3 linked regions of the Arabidopsis thaliana genome follow. The protein of the gene in region 2 interacts with the protein of the main gene of each other region in a pairwise test. Each region holds a gene or a part of one and is shown on either strand. Other genes may lie near its edges. The genes, in order: RBK2, ARAC5 and NCRK.

Evidence for each region.
Region 1: the proteins of ARAC5 (region 2) and RBK2 interact in a two-hybrid assay, tested with the Arabidopsis thaliana proteins (one study listed by BioGRID).
Region 3: the proteins of ARAC5 (region 2) and NCRK interact in a two-hybrid assay, tested with the Arabidopsis thaliana proteins (one study listed by BioGRID).

Annotation. Positions count from the first base shown.
Region 1 is NC_003074.8:1,434,753-1,440,729, forward strand, and holds RBK2 (ROP binding protein kinases 2), read right to left. Parts: upstream 3,788-5,977; 5' UTR 3,448-3,787; coding exon 3,395-3,447; exon of another isoform or gene 3,140-3,394; coding exon 3,027-3,139; intron 2,894-3,026; coding exon 2,480-2,893; intron 2,380-2,479; coding exon 2,128-2,379; intron 2,041-2,127; coding exon 1,803-2,040; intron 1,727-1,802; coding exon 1,591-1,726; intron 1,493-1,590; coding exon 1,343-1,492; intron 1,236-1,342; coding exon 1,065-1,235; 3' UTR 932-1,064; downstream 1-931. Other genes in the region: AT3G05130 (paramyosin-like protein), read right to left, coding at 1-627; AT3G05150 (Major facilitator superfamily protein), read left to right, coding at 5,464-5,619, 5,733-5,795, 5,894-5,977.
Region 2 is NC_003070.9:28,472,875-28,478,302, reverse strand, and holds ARAC5 (RAC-like GTP binding protein 5), read right to left. Parts: upstream 2,655-5,428; 5' UTR 2,340-2,654; coding exon 2,241-2,339; intron 1,873-2,240; coding exon 1,785-1,872; intron 1,698-1,784; coding exon 1,588-1,697; intron 1,476-1,587; coding exon 1,412-1,475; intron 1,330-1,411; coding exon 1,265-1,329; intron 1,187-1,264; coding exon 1,121-1,186; intron 1,025-1,120; coding exon 926-1,024; 3' UTR 501-925; downstream 1-500. Other genes in the region: VPS35B (VPS35 homolog B), read left to right, coding at 40-250. UniProt on the Arabidopsis thaliana protein: Involved in cell polarity control during the actin-dependent tip growth of root hairs, thus regulating root hair length and root hair initiation.
Region 3 is NC_003071.7:12,040,339-12,047,699, reverse strand, and holds NCRK (Protein kinase superfamily protein), read right to left. Parts: upstream 5,353-7,361; 5' UTR 5,047-5,352; intron 4,994-5,046; exon of another isoform or gene 3,773-4,993; 5' UTR 3,697-3,772; coding exon 3,627-3,696; intron 3,553-3,626; coding exon 3,460-3,552; intron 3,380-3,459; coding exon 3,278-3,379; intron 3,200-3,277; coding exon 2,945-3,199; intron 2,856-2,944; coding exon 2,611-2,855; intron 2,537-2,610; coding exon 2,240-2,536; intron 2,166-2,239; coding exon 1,923-2,165; intron 1,834-1,922; coding exon 1,600-1,833; intron 1,520-1,599; coding exon 1,361-1,519; 3' UTR 1,084-1,360; downstream 1-1,083. Other genes in the region: AT2G28240 (ATP-dependent helicase family protein), read right to left, coding at 5,730-6,844, 6,918-7,131, 7,216-7,361.

The sequences.
Region 1 (5,977 bases), on a different chromosome or scaffold from region 2:
CACTATCTCCAAATTGGATTCTTTCTCCTCCAAACGAACTACACACTCCTTCAATCGATTCACCTCCTCATGCTGTAAATCAAACCCATTCTTGATTAAGTCCCTCTCATCACAAACCTTCCTCAACTGTTCCTTCTCAATCTCAACCTTACCCGTAAGCTCAATCGCTTCCCCTTTCAAAACCCTAATCTCACTCTCTCTATCACTCTTCTCCTTCACCAACATATCAACTCCAACACACATCTCTCTAAACTGGCTCTCAACAAACACAATAACAAAATCCAATTCAAACTTCAACCCGAAATTCTCATCACTCACCTGATCCAACTCGTCACGCAACCCAGTCTTCTCCTGACAATAACGAGCTAACTCGGTCTCCAATTCATCCTTGGCCTGAACCAGCGAATCGATCTGGTTTCTCTTCTCCATAGCTTGTTTGAGAAGCATCGCATTAAGAGACTTCAAATTCTGGAATTGCTCCTCCGAAGAATCGTGTTCTTCCATGGAAGACTGACGGCTAAGTACCGTGGCTTTCTTGTCAGTCTCCGGTGCTTTCTGGTCATGTTGTTGTTGTCGGTTATCATTAGCGGTGTCGTTACTGTTACGCGACGCTTTCTTCTTGGCCATCGTTTTGAGGATTCTCGAAGGTTGCAAAAAAAGTGGTGGCGGTGATTAGGGTTTTTTGAGGATTTCGATGGTCAGTGTGAAGAGAGACGAAACGTCTTTGGGGGTAAATTTGCAAATTCAAAATTCAGGGCCCAGATTTTAAGATTTGATTTATCTTATCACATCAGTCTTCTCTGTTTTTAGATATTTTCGTAACGTAAATCCAACAACGTTGCACGTGACTGCCACGTGATACTAGTGACTAGTGAGAGTGATTATAAACCGAATTTAAGCTGGAATTAAACCGGTTTTAATTTAGTTTGTTCCATTCCCATCCATAAACAAATTTCAGCTATTTTGATCACATAATAGTTTTTTTTGGTAATTTTTTCCAACGATTTACATTCACCAATGAAAGAAACCAAAATAGTTTTACATAATAATAATTTGGATCGATTTCAAGAGGCTAAAGCAACCTCTCGAATGCGATCAAGATCTCCCAAGTACTTAGTGGAGTTATATTCTACACTATCTAATAATTCTTCGGAATACGTTCGTTGCATCATCTTTATCTTCGCTTCTCTTGGAGTCATTACGACATCTTCGTGGCCTAGTAATAATTCCACAACCTGGATACATTTAAAGAAACAGTATCAAAACCGGAACCAAAACGAATTTGACATTTGGTTCTTTCCCACTTTGAAACCTTAACCGGGATGGAATTACAATATTATACCTGGCTCATCCGGGGTCGTAGAAGAGAAGATTGATCGATGCATAAAGAAGCCGTGGAAGTTAACCGGATAAGCTCTTCTCGGTTATACTCATCTCCAAGAGATGGATCCACCAATTCTTTTATAGCTTTTCTCTCTAGCAACGGCTTAGCCTGTAAGCAAAAAGGAAACGTAACTCGTACCAGACTGATAAAAGGATAGTGAACCGGTCCGGTTTAGCCTCAAATGTCAAACTGGTCTATATACTCACCCATAAGACAAGGCTCTGCTGAGACTCGTCAAGGGCAGGATGTCCGGTTATGAGCTCCAAGAGGAGAACTCCAAAAGCGAAAACATCAGTCTTCTCGTCCACGATTCCGTGCATGAAATATTCAGGTGCAAAGTACCTAAAACATTGTCCAACCAAATTCTCAACTGAACCACATAAAAAAAAACTTTTCCTAAAAAATTTCAAATTGTTACCCGAATGTTCCCTCAAATTTGGATACGTTATGGTGTGTCAATTGCTTGGGAAGCCATTTGGCTAACCCGAAGTCGCAAATCTGCGGTTGAAAATCTTCGGTGAGAAGAATATTATCAGCTTTGATGTCTCGATGAATGATTCGTCTTTGACAACCCTCATGAAGATACACTAGTCCATCTGCTGTTCCTAACGCTACATTGTAACGTCTGCTCCAAGTCAGCTTATATTTTGATGGTCCTGTACAAATTAATTTGAGCATTTAGATATGATAAGCTTAAAAGCCCGATATGTATATCCGTTAAGTTTATGGGTGGATATAGAAACCATGGAGGAGAGAGCCTAAGCTTCCAAGAGGAGATAGCCGGAACACGAGATGCATTCCACCCTCGATGCAACAACCGATGAATTTGGCAGTGTTAGGATGATCAACATGAGCAATAATCCCAAGTTCCGATAGAAACTCAGCTGTTTGCTCGTCCGGTGTGCCTTTTGTCAAACGTTTCACAGCGATTAGCTTTCCTTCCGGTAGAATTCCCTGGTATACATCGGCGTAACCGCCTCTACCGATAATGTTTTCTGCATAGAAGCGTCGTTTTAATTGCAGTAATAGTAGCAACCAAACAGTCCTTCAAGTAAAAAAGAAGAGAGTATATTGTTATGAAGATAAACTCGATACCTGGACTGAAATTGTCAGTTGCAATTTCGATGTCAGATATTGAGAAGTTTTGGAGAGATGATTGGAAATCGTAGATATCGTGAAGGACCATGCCATTCATGTTTGGATCTGCACTTTTGTTTTGTTTGATGATCGGTGGGGCGGCGCCACTTAATGGAGGAAAGGAAGAGAGGCGTTTCATGGATCTGCGTTTCCATAGCTTGAAGAATTTTCCCCAATTAGAAGATGCTCTGTGATTCTTGCACTGTACGTCTGTGTCTGCATCTGCATTGTCGATAGCTTCTCTGTTTGGAGGAGGATCGTCAGATGAAGATGAAGCGGAAGAGATTGAGCAACGAGTTAAGCAGGCTTCGAGGGCTCCTCTTGGTGATTTGGGGTCTTGCTTCTCTTTATCTACCTCTAGTAATCTTAGATCTGGGAGGAGAAGGGAGAGAAAACGTTGGAAGAAGCTAGGTTTTTTGGTGTACAAGCAATGAATAAGAATACAGAGGACAAGAGAAAACAGAGCAAACATAGAAACAGAGGAAACAGAGGAGCTAGGTTTTACCATGAGCTGAAGCAGAATTCATAAGAAACGCGTTGGTTCTTTTATGTTTTGACGTATGATTTATGTCGTTTGGATCTTCTTCAGTGACATAACTTGAATATTTAGAGTTGTACCTGCCTCGGGAGATTCAAAAGAAAAGAACAGACTAAACATGTCGTTCTTATGTAAATTTTGCGGGAAATTAAGAGAAAATCGGTGAAAATTCAGGGAAAGTTCGTTAATTCTGCTTAAACGTTCGTTAAGTATCAATGAAAATCATAACAGAACAGAAGATAAACTTCTAGACATTAATATCATGTCTACCAAAAAAAAACTCAAATCAAATATAAGAACAAACAGAGAAAAAAGTGATTTGATTGAATGATTACATTGGAAGAGCACAACACACGGGAGAAGCTTCTTTGCTTTGGTCTACCGCCATGAAAGAGTGTTGGTAGGACACTTTTAAGATTTTCTCAGAAACCTGAAAACCTAAAAATAGAGAAGAGGATCATAGAAAGGAAATAGAAAGAAGTTAACATTTAAACCAAAAATAAATAAAAATAGAAAGAAGTTTTGAAGTTGGTGTTCGTCTCGAGACACCCGAAAGAAAAGGTTTTGTCTGTGTGTTTAAAATTTGATTTACTAATTTAATTGTTTTCCGTTGACCAATGGTATATCTACTAGTAGTTTTTTTGTTAAGCTAATAGTTAGACTCTAAAATGACTAAATCCTATATTTGGCAATATGCTTTTGATTTTCTCTTTTTGGATTGAACTCAGAGGCATTCTCTTAGCTTCATTCATTTATGGCAGAAAGGGTTAAGGGTCCTTAAAAATCGCTTCATCTGTCGGTCTCGTTATCCAAACTCATATTCCTAATTTAGGTCTTTTAAGGTTTTAAAAAACTACTTTCTTTATCTTGTTGATAAGGAATTTATAAAAGATCAAACTTGAGTAATCTAAGTAGTTTTAGTTTTACTAATTTCATTTACTGTTACTAATCAATTGTAGATATTGACATTCTTGTATATATTGCGACCTGATAGTAATTATCTTTAATTTTCTATATGTTTTTATTCAAGTAGTACTCTGTTTTGTATTTTCTTTCTTGTGAATAGAATATTTTCTGTGTGTATATGATGCAGAAAGCCTGCATTAAAACCTGCATTGGCTTTATTGCTTTGCACCGTTTATTTATTTTTATGATTCTTATTTTTGTGATTAACAAATATTATTTCAAGTGACTCTTATATAAGTTTTGGATAGTTAAACCACGGACCACAATCATGTTGGAAGTGATTGTTCAATACTTCATTGTTGTATAAGAGAGGGGACATCGATCATTTATGTAAATCTTGTTAGGTACTGTTCTGTTCTATCAATCTATCAATAGTCCCTACGCTAACTTTCTGTACCCTCGATTAAATAGGTTTTTGCTCAATGACGCTGGGTCCAAATTGTAATGACTCAGTTCAACTTCCGCGACAAAATCATTTTCATAGATTTTGATGATTTCTATAGTGGGCGGTTTTTTCTATACATCTTACATTCGCAAGAATTTGAATGATATTAGCCCATATGACGAGAAGAAGAATAATTCATTACTTATGTGGTTAATGCGGAGTGGAAACGAATATCTCATGGCCAACTACAAATCCAAATACTGTCTTTTGAATCCCTGTAGTTTTATACTATATGATCTAGAGTTTTTTTTGGATTTTGTCTCCCAAATTAGAAATTATTATAGTATCAACTATCCATCACATTTATAGAAAAAAAAAAAAAAAAAAACTATCCATCACAGCTTGGATCTTGCGGTGGGCCAGGAAAAAACACATGAGCATCGGATCTGTGGAAAACAACTGTCTTATCGGGTCAAACCTTTGAGTCAATTACACGTTACTGTGCATGTCATAAACCATCACCAAAAAGGAAAACAAAATAACAAACCATGCATCTTACTTACCCAGTAACACAATGCATCCATAATGTACATAGTATTTGTGAATTTTTTGAGGAAAGTATTAGTGAATATTATTACTATGAAATACCATGTAATTACTTCTGAATTATCTTACTTAAGAAAATTCAAGTTTAGTCAATCAACATTAAAACTATAGAGAACCCCCAACGTGTAATAATGCATTGGGAGTTGGGACTTTCATAAAATCTCGAATAAATTAATTCAAATTGTCTAATTCGTCCAAAATTATCCTGCATGGGTTTTAGCTAAGCCAGCCTAGCTACATGTACTGATTTATACAGAGATAAATATAGACATGATATATATCAATAAATTAGGAACAAATCAGAGTTTTTAGATCTAAAAACACGGTGCCTTCTCATTTCCTCCGGTGAGTTATCCAAATCTTGTGTTTCTTATCATATATCCTATATTTTATCTACATAAAAATTGATAAGTATTCGTTGAATTCAAAGGGCATTTTACGAAGAAAATGGAGACAAGAAAAGACGACATGGAGAAAAGGAACGACAAATCCGAGCCGTTGCTGCTGCCGGAGAATGGATCCGACGTCTCAGAAGAAGCATCATGGATGGTTTATCTAAGCACGATCATTGCCGTTTGCGGTTCCTACGAGTTTGGAACATGCGTAAGATTCTTTTACGACACCTATTACTTTGGAAATAAAAGATGATGAGAACCTAAGAATTTGTGACGATTAATCTTTTTGATACGAGAAAATCTGTGTTTGTTTTTTAATAGGTGGGATACTCCGCTCCAACACAGTTTGGGATTATGGAAGAGCTTAATTTATCATATTCCCAGGTTTATATTAAATTGATTAAGTCTTCTACGTTTATAGATGCATGTTTAACAATATTTTGCTTAATCTTTTTTTTTTTTTTTTCTCTATTGGAATCTAGTTTTCGGTTTTCGGATCGATATTGAATATGGGAGCAGTGCTCGGCGCCATTACATCGGGGAAGATTTCTGATTTCATCGGTCGG
Region 2 (5,428 bases):
GCATCTCAATACTAAAAATGTTTTTTTCATATACAACAGGTACATTTACTTCTTTGAGAAAGGGAATCCACATATCACTCCATCTGATATACAGAGCCTCATAGAATTGATCAACAATGAGATGCAAAGCGACAACGGTAACACGACAATCCACTCAGATCCCTTCTTTACAAGTACATTGCGTTACATTAAGTTCATAAAACAGAAAGGTGGTTTGATGGGTGAGAAATATGACCCTATCAAGCTGTGACTTAAATCCGAGACACAAGCCTCATCAAATCCCGAGAGGAATTCTCTGTATTTTCCAAAGAAATGTTGGAAACTCTGAAAAGGAAGTGTACACTACACATGTTTGTTTTCTTTTCGGTCTTATTACAAAATGGAGAAAACCTTTGTAATTGTTATTTTCTTTGTTCCTTATACTCACCTCACCTGTGTGTATAGAATCCTCGTTTCTGTAAACCATTCTTTGAAACTATGCCTCAATTCAACGATGTCTCTAATCTTATTGTATATAGAGATCTATCTCAAGATGTTCTTCGTTGTCTGAATCTAATTACATACCAATACAAGACCATAAGATCAACGGAAGCTTAAAAAAAGTCACTAAAAAATTAATTAAGATTTCTGTTAAAGAAAATACAAAATGGACCCCAACAGCAAAAACAAAGACAACATAGTATTAAGAGATTAGTCTACATAGCAAAAGTACAACAACAACAACAACACACCAAGAAAAGAACACATCCCCTTCTCTTACCCAGAATCCTCCTCTTGGCCTCAGTTCACTCATTAGATTCACCAGCAAAAAGAAGAGTAAAGACCGAAACAAGCCGGATTCAACAACTATACAATGTTGCAGGTGTTCGTTTTCCTTCAGCTTCTTTTGTTACCTAAACCTTTTTTCGTTTTAAGAGATGTTCGATCACAAGAACACGCAGCGGTTCTTGTTCTTTTTCTTCTTCTTCTGTTTCGGTGGCTGAAGCACCACTTTTATGGCTGCGTCAAAGACTGCTTTCACATTCTGCAAAACCCAACAATCAACATTTTCACTGTCTTACCAAATACAAAAATCCCAAACAAAAAGACATGTGAGATATTATTTATGTGTGTAGTATACCTGCTGAGTCTTTGAACTACATTCAATGTAGATTGGTGATCCTATCAGTTTCTTTAGTTCCTCTCCCTGCAGACAAACAACTAAAGATCAAGAACTCGCAAAGCAAAAAACACTATTGTTTTAAAGAATTGTGGAGTTATGTACCTGGTTTGTAGTAATAGGCACTGCACCAGGATGGTCTATGAAGAATTGCTTGTCATCTCGAAGATCTGCAAATTCCAAAACTTGAATTATTATTCATCTCTTTCTTATTATAAGGAAAGAGTTTTTAGACAAGAAGAGAGTCAATACCGAGTTTCGTTCCAACGAGGATTATAGGAACACCAGGGGCATAATGCCTAAGCTCAGGAATCCACTGAAATAAAGAAAAAAAAAAAAAAAAAAGCAAATGAAGGAACCAATTCAAAATCAGCTTAACGAAAGTTATTACTATCAAATGAAAGACGTTAGATCAACAAAAAGCTAACCTTCTTGGCTACATTCTCGTAGCTAGCTTTGCTAATAAGCGAGAATGCAAGAATGAAGACATCGGCACCACGGTAACTCAACGGTCTTAACCTGTTATAGTCTTCTTGACCTGCACAAACCCAAGAATTATCAGTCAAAATGAAACCACAAAAAAACAAGAAAACCAGATTTGATGAGTTTCAAAAGGATTATTTACCAGCTGTATCCCACAATCCAAGATTCACCGTGTTCCCATCTACAACCACATTAGCACTGAAGTTGTCGAAAACAGTTGGAACATAGTCCTGATATTCAGTAACCAAGTCATAGAGTTTGTTAAACTAAAACACACACAATAGTGGATCATCATTAACACACACAATAATGGAAAAGATTATAGATCCTCATATCTGCAAATTTGACTAATACATACAAATTGAACATGAAGTCCAAAATGAAAGAAGAACAATGCTCATAGGTAAAGATAAATAACAAAGAAGCTAAATCCATGGAAGCATCAATAAAAGTTCTGAAGAAACATGTCAAGAATTGATTTTTACAATTTTTACCAGCTAATCAATCACATTCAAGAACAAAGATGAATAATCTCCAAAAACCCATTTTCAAAGAATGCTTCAAGATCACTACTGAGAGCAAAAGGAAGAAACTTTACCGTAGGGAAAGTGTTGCTTGTGTAAGAAATCAGCATACAAGTTTTTCCGACGGCACCATCGCCGACGGTGACACACTTTATAAACCTCGAAGCACTCATCTCCGCAGCAAATTCACAAACTCAAAAAAAGAACCCTTTTGCACTTCTTCTTCCTCAAATCCCAGCCATTCCCAAGAATCAAGAAACAATCTTTTCTAACTCAAGAAAAAACCCTAATCCCGAATCGTAGTAGAACACGGGTAAATTCAAAAGTAGCAAGCCAAATCGATGAGAGATAATAATGGCAAAAGAATGAGGAAAATCTTTGCTTTTTCTTTAATTTGCAATGTGTTTTGGGCCGTTGATGATTCTGAGATGAGCTTTTCAATACCAACCTTATGCCAGCTATTTGCTACACCAAACAACACCTTATCATTTACACTCACCCCACTTTAGTATTTCTTTTAAATAATACTAATTTTGAGCACTTTTAATTTTGAATTTGAATACAAATTGAGAAATTATCCGTTGTAATGAGTTTTTTTTTTTCTTTTCCTTTTCTGTATAGTAGAAATATCTTTTTACATTATGAAATTACTATCTGTTTTATGAGATTAGCTAAACTACCACCAAAATAAAAACCTAATTCACTAATAAACATGGATTTTTTTTTTAATTTTCTTTTAACAAAAACTAATGTTTTCTAATTTGACCATAGTTGTTAACCTAATTGACAATTATAAAAAAAAAAGACAGCAAATAAATAAAGATTATAATTTTTAAGAAAAAAAACTAAGAGTAAAGCATAATAAACGACCAAACTATGGGGAGGGAGGGCATGAAATTGCCAAATATTAATCATTGGATTGGGACGACTCTCGTCAAGAACGTGCGACTTAGTGTTACGGCACCATTTCATTCCTTTTTCTCAAATCCCTTATCAAATTAATATGGTTTAATTTTGTCAAGAGTGTCTTTGTCTTTGTTTTTATAGTTGTAATTTTAAAGAGTTTTCTTCATCTTTACGACATAAGAATCGAAAAATCTTACACGAACGTGCTCAACTCTCTTTCAACCTACCAATGAGCATACGACACATCATGAATTGTCCCACATTAGATTTATCCAAATCATACGGTCGCATTATTACAGTTTGCTTCTAAAGGACCAAGGACACATCAAAATTTCACCAATTATATTTATATGAACTAATATTCAATCATACCAAACTAAAGAAGGGGTTAGAGTTAGCTCTACGCTTCTACCTACTCTCAACCAAAAACACCTTTACCCATTCATTCTGATTCTTACATGAAATGAATTTCAGGCTTTATGATTTTTTTTATAAGAAATTTGATAATGATTGATCATGAAATCTAGTGCTTCTATTTAAAGCGACTTATTTGAAAATGAATAAACTTTACATTAGTGATTCAAGTGACAATATGGAGTGCCATAAGGGCCATAACACAAAGGCACAAACACACTAACACAACTGGAAGCTAGAAAAGACAATAACACGAAGGCTCACACTTGAGGCCCAGTAGCGAATTAAGGCCCATTATGACAACTCTTGAAATATCATGATTAGTGACCATTTTTGCCACCAGGGCCCATGGGGTACTTGGTTTGGTGAGACTCCAAATGAATTGACTGCCTAGTGCATGCTTATCCACGAAACAAGAGTTTTTACTTGTTTATTTTGGAATGTAGTAATTCATCTGTCATAGAAGAAGAGTAAAATATGTTATGTTTTAAAACATTATCCAATTTTTTTTTATTTTTTTGTTGCGTAATTAGTATATAGATAAGATGTAGTAGACTAAAGTTTGTCGGTTTCTCAGTCATTCAACATTTGTTAAAGCTTTAAAGGCATAGTGCTAAAGTTTGACAAGTGGAAACAGTCTCCATAATAGATGGCGCACATAGTTAATTGTGTCTAACAATGGCTGCGGTCGACTGATGGCCCATAGTTTGACAAGTACAAACAGTCTCCATAACAGATTTGCCTCTGTCTTTAAGCAAATCGACAGGAGCACATTAATTAGAGACACTCTCCTGGCTCGAAGGTACCGCAAAGGCCGCGGTGACTGCTCTCTCAATGGTTTTCCCATGCCTAGCTCGTAATAGTTCTCTATTTGTAATCTTTGCGTTTATTAGTTTCTGAGGCTTTTTAAAAAACAAATTGTCTTAGAAGCTATTTGTCCCAAAGATTTTTGCAAGTAACAATGTTTCCATTTTGGTAATTAATCACATTTCAAAAAAAAAAAAAAACTCACATTTTATCAAAAAAAGAAGAAAAATTGTGTCTAACAAAAACATATGCATTGCTTAGTACTGAAAATTTAAAACATGGTTGAGACTTGAGACATTGGGCCCATATATGCAATATAGAGCCATACGGTAATACATTTATGAGAGATTTTTACGACTTTTCTGAATCAACCTCGAACTATAAATTATAAAACAGTCACATGTTATTCTAGTTAGACTTCAAGTAGTGAGAAATTCAGTAAAAAGAACAGTCAAACCCACAAATTTCTGTTACATTATTTAACAATGAAAACACACAAATATCTGTTGTAATAGAGTAATAAGTAAGCAAGCATACGTACAGTGTGATACACAGTACAAATCTAACATCAGATACTAGCTTGAGATAATTTAATATTAATATGGGTGCAGGAAATTTTTGCCACGCTGGTTCAAACTCCATAGAAGTAACAGTTTTGTTTATATTAACATAATTTACAAATCTTGGAATTGGGATATCTATAGATATTTTTTGAATAACCACATAACTAGCTGATCAGCATGAACATTCTAGATATCAGTCTTGTAAATTGACATAATTTTGGTGGAAACATACATTTGGTATTCTTCTCCGAAACCGCCTGTTTTTTACATTGTAGCCGAGCCTAAGTACAATAAATAAAAATTCAAAGATGTCAACACAAGACCTCGTTTTTTAAAGTTGAATTAGCTAGGTAAATCTCTTTGGTATATAATTAAGTCGGAGATTGTGTTATGTAGCTAGCTCTCTTTTATGTATAAGCTGAATACTCTTTATTATAAGCAGTTTTTATGAAATACTATAACATATTCCTCCGATTCTCTATTTTCAAATAATCGTTTGTGTTGTGTTGGAGTTTTGCAGACAAATATGGACAAGAAGAAACAGTAGTATACGTCGTACGTAAAAGTTTATC
Region 3 (7,361 bases), on a different chromosome or scaffold from region 2:
TTTTCCTTATAATTCTTATTTGGTTCATTTTTATAGAGTAAAGAATAAATTAAGAGACAAAGCTTGGGTTGGCAATTAATGGACGGTTACATTTGGAATAAATGGGTTTGATTCGTCCAGTCTGTGGAACACACCATATGGGCTTTTCTTGATTGATCCCATCATCCCCCACCTTCTCTTTCTTCGATTATCCAACATGTTGATGTAATGATGTTACTATACTACCCAATTACTTTTCCTAAACATTTGTAAAATCAGTCACAATGTATAAACTTACCATATGGAACGACGACTCTCTTCGATCAAAGATTTTGGTTAACTTCAACTATCTTGAAAAATCTTTGCAAAAGATTGAAAATAGTTCGTTCAAACTTAATACCGTAGATTGTAGCCGGAAAATTTAGCATTTTGCTTATTCTCATAGGGCATGAAAACTTCTAGTCTTCTAAATTCTAATATTAAGTAATCAAGACTATAGAAAATAGTTCTTAGTATTAAAAACATATGAGCAAAACATATGATTATGTTGGATATAACATCTTTGAAATTTTCATACTTAGACTCGGTTTTTCCCAAACATGTGTGTAGGAATATATGATGTATCACCTCTATATCGTATTAAGTCCTCATTAGTGGAGAAGCAAAAGGCTGCATAGCCCATCAAGAGTCGATAAGGATACGCTCCTATTTACCTTCCAACTTAGAGTGGTTGAGGCGGAGAGAAGGATCTTGGCACTAAAAATAACTCAATCAAGTATTGTTCTAATCTCACAATGCTATTTACATATGATAGCTTGTTCTTTTACAAAACAAACTTACAAAGAAAATCATCAGTGACGTAAATTAATAAATCTTCATACAATTATTTTTACATGATTTAGAGGTATTCTAGCCTTTTAGTCGGTTTTGATGCAATATTTGCTATCTAAACTCTACTTTGCATAACATCTAATAATCCAAATTTTATGAATTATCCAAATGAAAAAATGAACATGCCCATTATGTATGTGTAATTGTGTATGCAAGGCCGGTTCCTAGAGTGTAGTGGTTGACACGAACTCTTTACAATACATAATGGCCATGCTCATTTCGATTTTTTTAACAATGAATCAATTCTGACTTAACCATTTTTTTCCAAATAAAAAAATATAGCAAATCTTGTGAATAATAACTCTTGTGTACATTTTGTTAAATATATTTATTAAAATTATCAATTAAAAGTCCTCTAGTTTAGAACAAATCTTGACACTCTCACTTGTAGTAAACTCTCAAGTCTCAACGCTTCACTCTCGTCAGAGTGAGCTTTTTATCTACACAGTGCGAAATGGCAGTTTTTGTTCTGTGCTTTTCTATCTACTTTTTAAATATGTGCAGATGGTTCAAGCAAGACCGGCTTCACATTCGGCAAGCAGAATGACTCGAACCGTGGCTCAGTCAGATCCACTGTTTCCTCTTCCTGTCCACTCTTGCTCCCTCCTCTTGACCATCCCACTTTGCTTTCTTTCTTCTTCTCGTTACTCTGCGAAAACAAATGTCGCCGATAGTAAGGGTCGATTGTTTCAAACGCTAATATACACGTTGTTTTCATGTAAAACATACCTGGAAAAGATAATTAATGGGGAAATTTCTACGTCTGGATGATGTGTCTGGTGTGATGGTTGAAAGAATCTGAACAACTTCTCTCATTGTTGGTCTACTTTCTGGATCCAAAAGCAAACACTCTTTAGCAAGATACGCCATTATCTGCATCTCTTCTTCCGCAAACTTCCCGTTTAGCCGCGGATCAGGCAGTTCCTCGATCACCCGCTTACTATCTTGTAACCGTGGCACAGCCTAACACACCACAGAACAAATAAGTTTCAGAGACTTGAAATTTGTTGGCTAAAGCTACAACTAAAGATTCATAAACCAGTGTTAATTACCCATATAACTAGGCTTTCTTCGCCTTTGTTGTTGCTTGGTTTCTGTATCGGTTTCCTTCCGGTTATAAGCTCGAGTAGAACAACACCAAAGCTGAAAACATCTGACATCTGTGAAGCACATCCTGCAATTGCGTATTCAGGTGCAAAGTAGCCAAATGTTCCTTGTAGTCCTGTGGTTGGAGAGCTTGAACCGCTTTGTAAACCATCGCTACTCAAACACTTAGCCATCCCAAGATCTGTTATCTGTAAAAATGTTATGTGCATTAAAACTTCAAATTTAGCCTCATTGAACACTGAAAATGTTTGTGTATACTTACTTTTGCATGCCAATTCTCATCAAGGAGAATATTTGTGGATTTCACATCTCGGTGTAAGATTCTTGGAGCGGCAGCTTCATGAAGATACTCAAGTCCTCTTGCAGCTCCAAGAGCGACAGAGATTCGGATGTTCCATGTCATTTTCTCCCCTAACTCTCCATCTAAGCAATCTCTTAGACTTCCATAAGACATGTACTCAAAAACCAGAAGCCTCTCTGCATGTTTGCCATGAAACTCCGAACAATATCCAATTAACGGTACCACATGGTAATGATGGAGTCTTGATAATAACTCTACCTGTGAGAACATTAATAAAGACATTGGATCAAATATGAATTCCAAATGAGAAGTAGGAGAAATGAGATTAGTACCTCTGTTGAGAATAGAGTGTCAGTGTCGTCTCCTTTAGGGGTATTTAGACGTTTGATCGCAGCGGTTTTACCGTCTTTGAGCTGTCCACGGTAAACACAACTACTTCCTCCATGTCCTATTACACTGTTACTTGAGAATTTATTGGTTGCTTGCTCTAATTCTGTGTATGAGAACTGAAAGATAGCTCCATGGATTGTTTCAGGTTTGCTCACACAAAACAAAGAAGCATTCTGAAAGAAGCAACCTGAAGAAAACAAAACAAAAACAAGTTCTTATTTCCTCTTCTGTTTAACGTATCAACTCAAAGAAAGTAAGAGGGTAAAAATGATTGACCTGCCACTGAGGAGCTGATGCTAATTTTCGATTGTGAAACCGAGCTTTTACGGTTTATTAAGTTAGCAGAGCTATGCCAGCTAGATTCTCTATCTGAAGAGACTGAAGGGGTTTGTCCAGAAAACTTGTCCTTTCTACAAATGTAACAAATCATAGAGGCAAGGAATGCTAGTGAAATGAGTACACCGCAGAAGAGTAGTATAACTATAACGAGTTTCCTCGATAAATATTGCTTCTTTGAAGATTTTGTAGCACCTGGAAACAAGTAAGTAGACCAACTTATGATATAATCGACTAAGTTTGCAGTAGAACAATGGATATAGTAAACTATACCAGCAGAGCAGTTGCATGAAGTGAAGCATGACGAATTTGAACCACCAATGGCTATAACCGGAAATCCATTTGCAGGACACAAACATACCCATTGATCTCTGTCTGCTAACAAAAGAGAGAGTCAAAAAGTTAGTTTTCTCTAGAATATTGAAAATTTTCTAGTTGGTAAAGAGAAAACGAACCTGGTCTGCAATTACATGATGTGGAACAGTTAGATTCCAGGATATCACTTCGATTGCCCGAAGAGAAACACGTACATGTATAGTTGCTTACACCTAACAAAGAAACGTCATCAATTTAAATGAAACTCACACCATGTTTTTATATATGTTGCTGAGTAGAAACTAACCTCCATAACATTGTTGAATTGATATGAGAACCAAAAGGATCGCAAGTGCGGTTTCCACTCTCATCTTCATTGCCAGCGAGTGGAGATTAGATAAAGACCTTCATGTCGAACTAAGCTCAACCTCCAAGAGTGCAAGAATCTAAAACCTGAAACAAGTTATGTTTAGATTAGACCAGATTACAAGTAGAGTAGAATTTTTATAGAATTCACAGGTAAAACTACAGTGTAATGTGAATGAATGAGTTGGTGAACAGACATCGAAAAGATTCTAACTCTGTTACACCCACTATGAACCAAAAACATTCTATGATTTGGTCAAGAGTCTCCAATTCTTAAAAGGGCCCAGAGTTAGAAGAGAAAACAAGAAACTCATAGCGATAGATATACGGTCCACATCAATCATTTAAAGATCCATTGTCACTCATCTGATTCTGCAAAATCTTTAGTTCCCTCTAAAGTTAGTTGGCTATGTTTTCACATACAGACAACAAACATCATAACACAACAACCAAAACACTAAAAGAACCAAACAAGAGAGCTAATATAGATTACATTACCCTGCAAAGTGGTGAAGTTGAAGTAAGAACTACAGAGTCAAGAAAAGGAAGTTGCAGACAAGAGGATATTAAAAAGAAGTAATGGAGCATCTTGAAGGATATTGATTACTAAAATAATGTGATTAAAGAAATGATTGAGTATAGGATTAGTCAAAGAATGGCAAATACAATAATAAATGGAATGAAAACAGACCAACCACCAATAGAAAGAAACGGGCATTGCAAATCTGAGAGTGACCTTTCAACCATTATAGTAATCAAAGAGGCAGAATCATTGAAAAGCTCTTAACTTTAAACTGTTTACTAATGGCAAAATCTTTATATTATAATCAAAACATCTTAAACTTTACCAAAATTGATAAATATTAGATTTTGTGAATCTTAACAAGAACTATATGATGATACTGTAACTTAGCTCACATGACTCTTTCTTTATGAACTTGACATTGTAGATTCTTGATCCAAAATTATAGACAAACCAAATTAGATAGAGCCAAAAAGGACTTTGCTTTTAAGGAAAAGCAAAACGTTGGTCGAAGCAAACTGTTGAAATTTGTTAGGACCCAGAATTTCCGGTGTCGGTTGTCAGGAACCGGTTTAAAACCCGGTTTTTGATTGTGGGACTCACAATTCCCGGTGTCGGTTGTCGGAAACCGGTTTAAAAAACCGGTTTTCGATTGTAGGACCTGTTTCCTCCACCATTGACCGAAAAAATCTAACTTTTTGATGGAAAGAATCATGTCCCACAAATTCAATGATGCTCTCTCCAAGTAAAAGGTGAAGTTTTTGGGGAACCCCATTTCATGATTTCTTCATACATGTAGGGAAATGAATTGAAAACGCATATTTAATGAGAAACCCACCTTAATATGAAGAAGCAACAATGTCGATTTTTGAGGATTTGGAGCTTGCTACAGCTTATAGTAGAACAGAGAGTACCAGCATTGGAGCTAAAACGCAAACGCGAAATGGAGCAAAACCGCGTTTGTAGTTGAGTTTCCAGCAAAGATAAAACTTTTTCCTTGAAGGAGAAACGAATCCCTTTCCACAGTCAAATCAGAATGAGAATTAAGAAATCTAAAACGCGAAATAAACAGAGGAGTCCACGCGACTGCGTTTGCGTTAGCGTTTGTGGTCGAGTGGAGTCACTAAACTAGTGAACTGATGTATCGAGGGGGGCGATTTTAAAAAGAGTTCATTTATTAGAGATCGGGGTATGTCACGTGCCACGTGGCGCTAAATTGATATCAGAGATTCGCTGCATGAAAAATATTTTCAAAACTCGAAGTAAGGAGAAAAAAAGTATTTTGAAAATTCCTATAGAGTAAAAATAACAGAATTATGTAAATAAATTTTGATTAAACTGCAAATTTGTGAAAAATATTTTAGTTAACTTACTTGATATTCTCCAAAAAATTAGTATTCGAAATGATCCTTCGTACAAGGCATTCTCAAATGTTTTAAAGGGCCTCTCGAACTTATATATTCCCTTAAGAGAAACTTCAAAAACTATATACTGATGTTATATACTCCCAAAGATTTGTCACTAGTCGTCATCTGAGAGATAGACCAAGCTACTGTTTGACTTCTTTTGTTGTTGCTTTTGTTGTTCTTGAGCCAACCTTGGATATGTTGATGGTGCAGCAGCAGAGTTGGGAGCTCGAGATGATCTTAAATGAGGTGCCATGGTCCTTCGCGCTATACCATGCACTGGTGGAGCAGAAGCTGGTTGATAAGAAGTTGGAGTATGGTTGGAGATTAAAGGCGGTGGTCTTGGCTGAGGTGTGTTGCAGGGCGGTGATTGCAGAGATATAGCTTTTGATGTGACTGAGGGTCGAGGATGGGGAGTTGAATTGATTTCTGTGTTTGATTGTTTTGCTGGTGGTTGAGATACTGGTTTTGGCTGAGGCGTTTTGCTGCGTGGTTGATGTAAAGGACGGGCTTCTGTTGTGACTGAGGGTCGAGGAAGGGCGGTTGAATTGATGATATCCGTCTTGGATTGTACTGCTGGTTGCTGAGATATTGGTTTTGGCTGAGGAGCCTTGCAGCTTGATTGATGTAAAGGAGGGGCTTCTGCTGTGACTAAGGGTCGAGGAAGGGCGGTTGAATTGATATCTGTGTTGGCTTGTACTAAAGCTTTCTGAGGTATTGGTCTTGGCTGAGGCGTGTTGCTGTGTGGTTGATGTAACAGACGAGCTTCTGCTGTGATTGAGGGTCGAGGAAGGGCGGTTGAAGTGATATTTGTGTTGGATTGTGCTAATGCTTGTTGTGGTATTGGTCTTGGCTGAGACGTGTTGCTGTGTGGTTGATGTAAAGGACGAGCTTCTGCTGTAACAGAGGGTCGAGGAAGGGCGGTTGATTGCATCTGTGTGTTTGATTCTACTGCTGCTTGCTGAGATATTGGACTTGGTTGAGGAGTGTTGCAGTGCGGGAGAGGAGCTGAAAGATTTGGAGGTGTAGCTTCCGCTGCTGTGACTGAGGGTCGAGGAGGAGCAGTTGAATTCATAGGTTCAGCTGCTGTGACTGAGGGTCGAGGAGGAGCAGCCGAATTCATAGGTTCAGCTGCTGTGACTGAGGGTCGAGGAGGAGCAGTTGAATTCATATGCCTGTTAGTTTGCACTGCTTGCTGCTGCTGCGTTGAATGTTGAGAGCTCCTGGGTGCTAAAAAAAGGGAAGAGAATTAGTGTCGCTGTTTAGCTCATTTGCTTTATCCAATTATACTCTTCAACTTTACCTCTTACGGTAGCAGTATCAGTGGCTGCACTCTTCACTGGACAAGTAGACTTGTAAGCATTCGCCAAGAGACTGTTCATAACAACCAAACTCCTTAACGCTTCATTCTTCTTCGCTTGAGCGTTATACGCAGCATCTACCTCTTGGGATTTCCTATCATACTCACTGCGTGCTTCCGCCATCTTCCTCTCGAGTTCAGCCTTCAACTCTAATGTCTGCTTACAAACAACGAGACAATGAGCAGAGAGGACAGGAAACCGAATAAAGATAGATTAACCAAGAATTAGAAAAAGACTAACCGTCTCTTCAAAGCTTTTCAGTAAGGTCCCTTGTTCTCTGCTCAGCTTCTCCAGCTCGTGGTCACATATGTCACTGAACGAAGATAAATGTAACCGAGGACTCTGTCCCATATGATTGTTGGGAAGAGACGTAACCGCTGATGCAT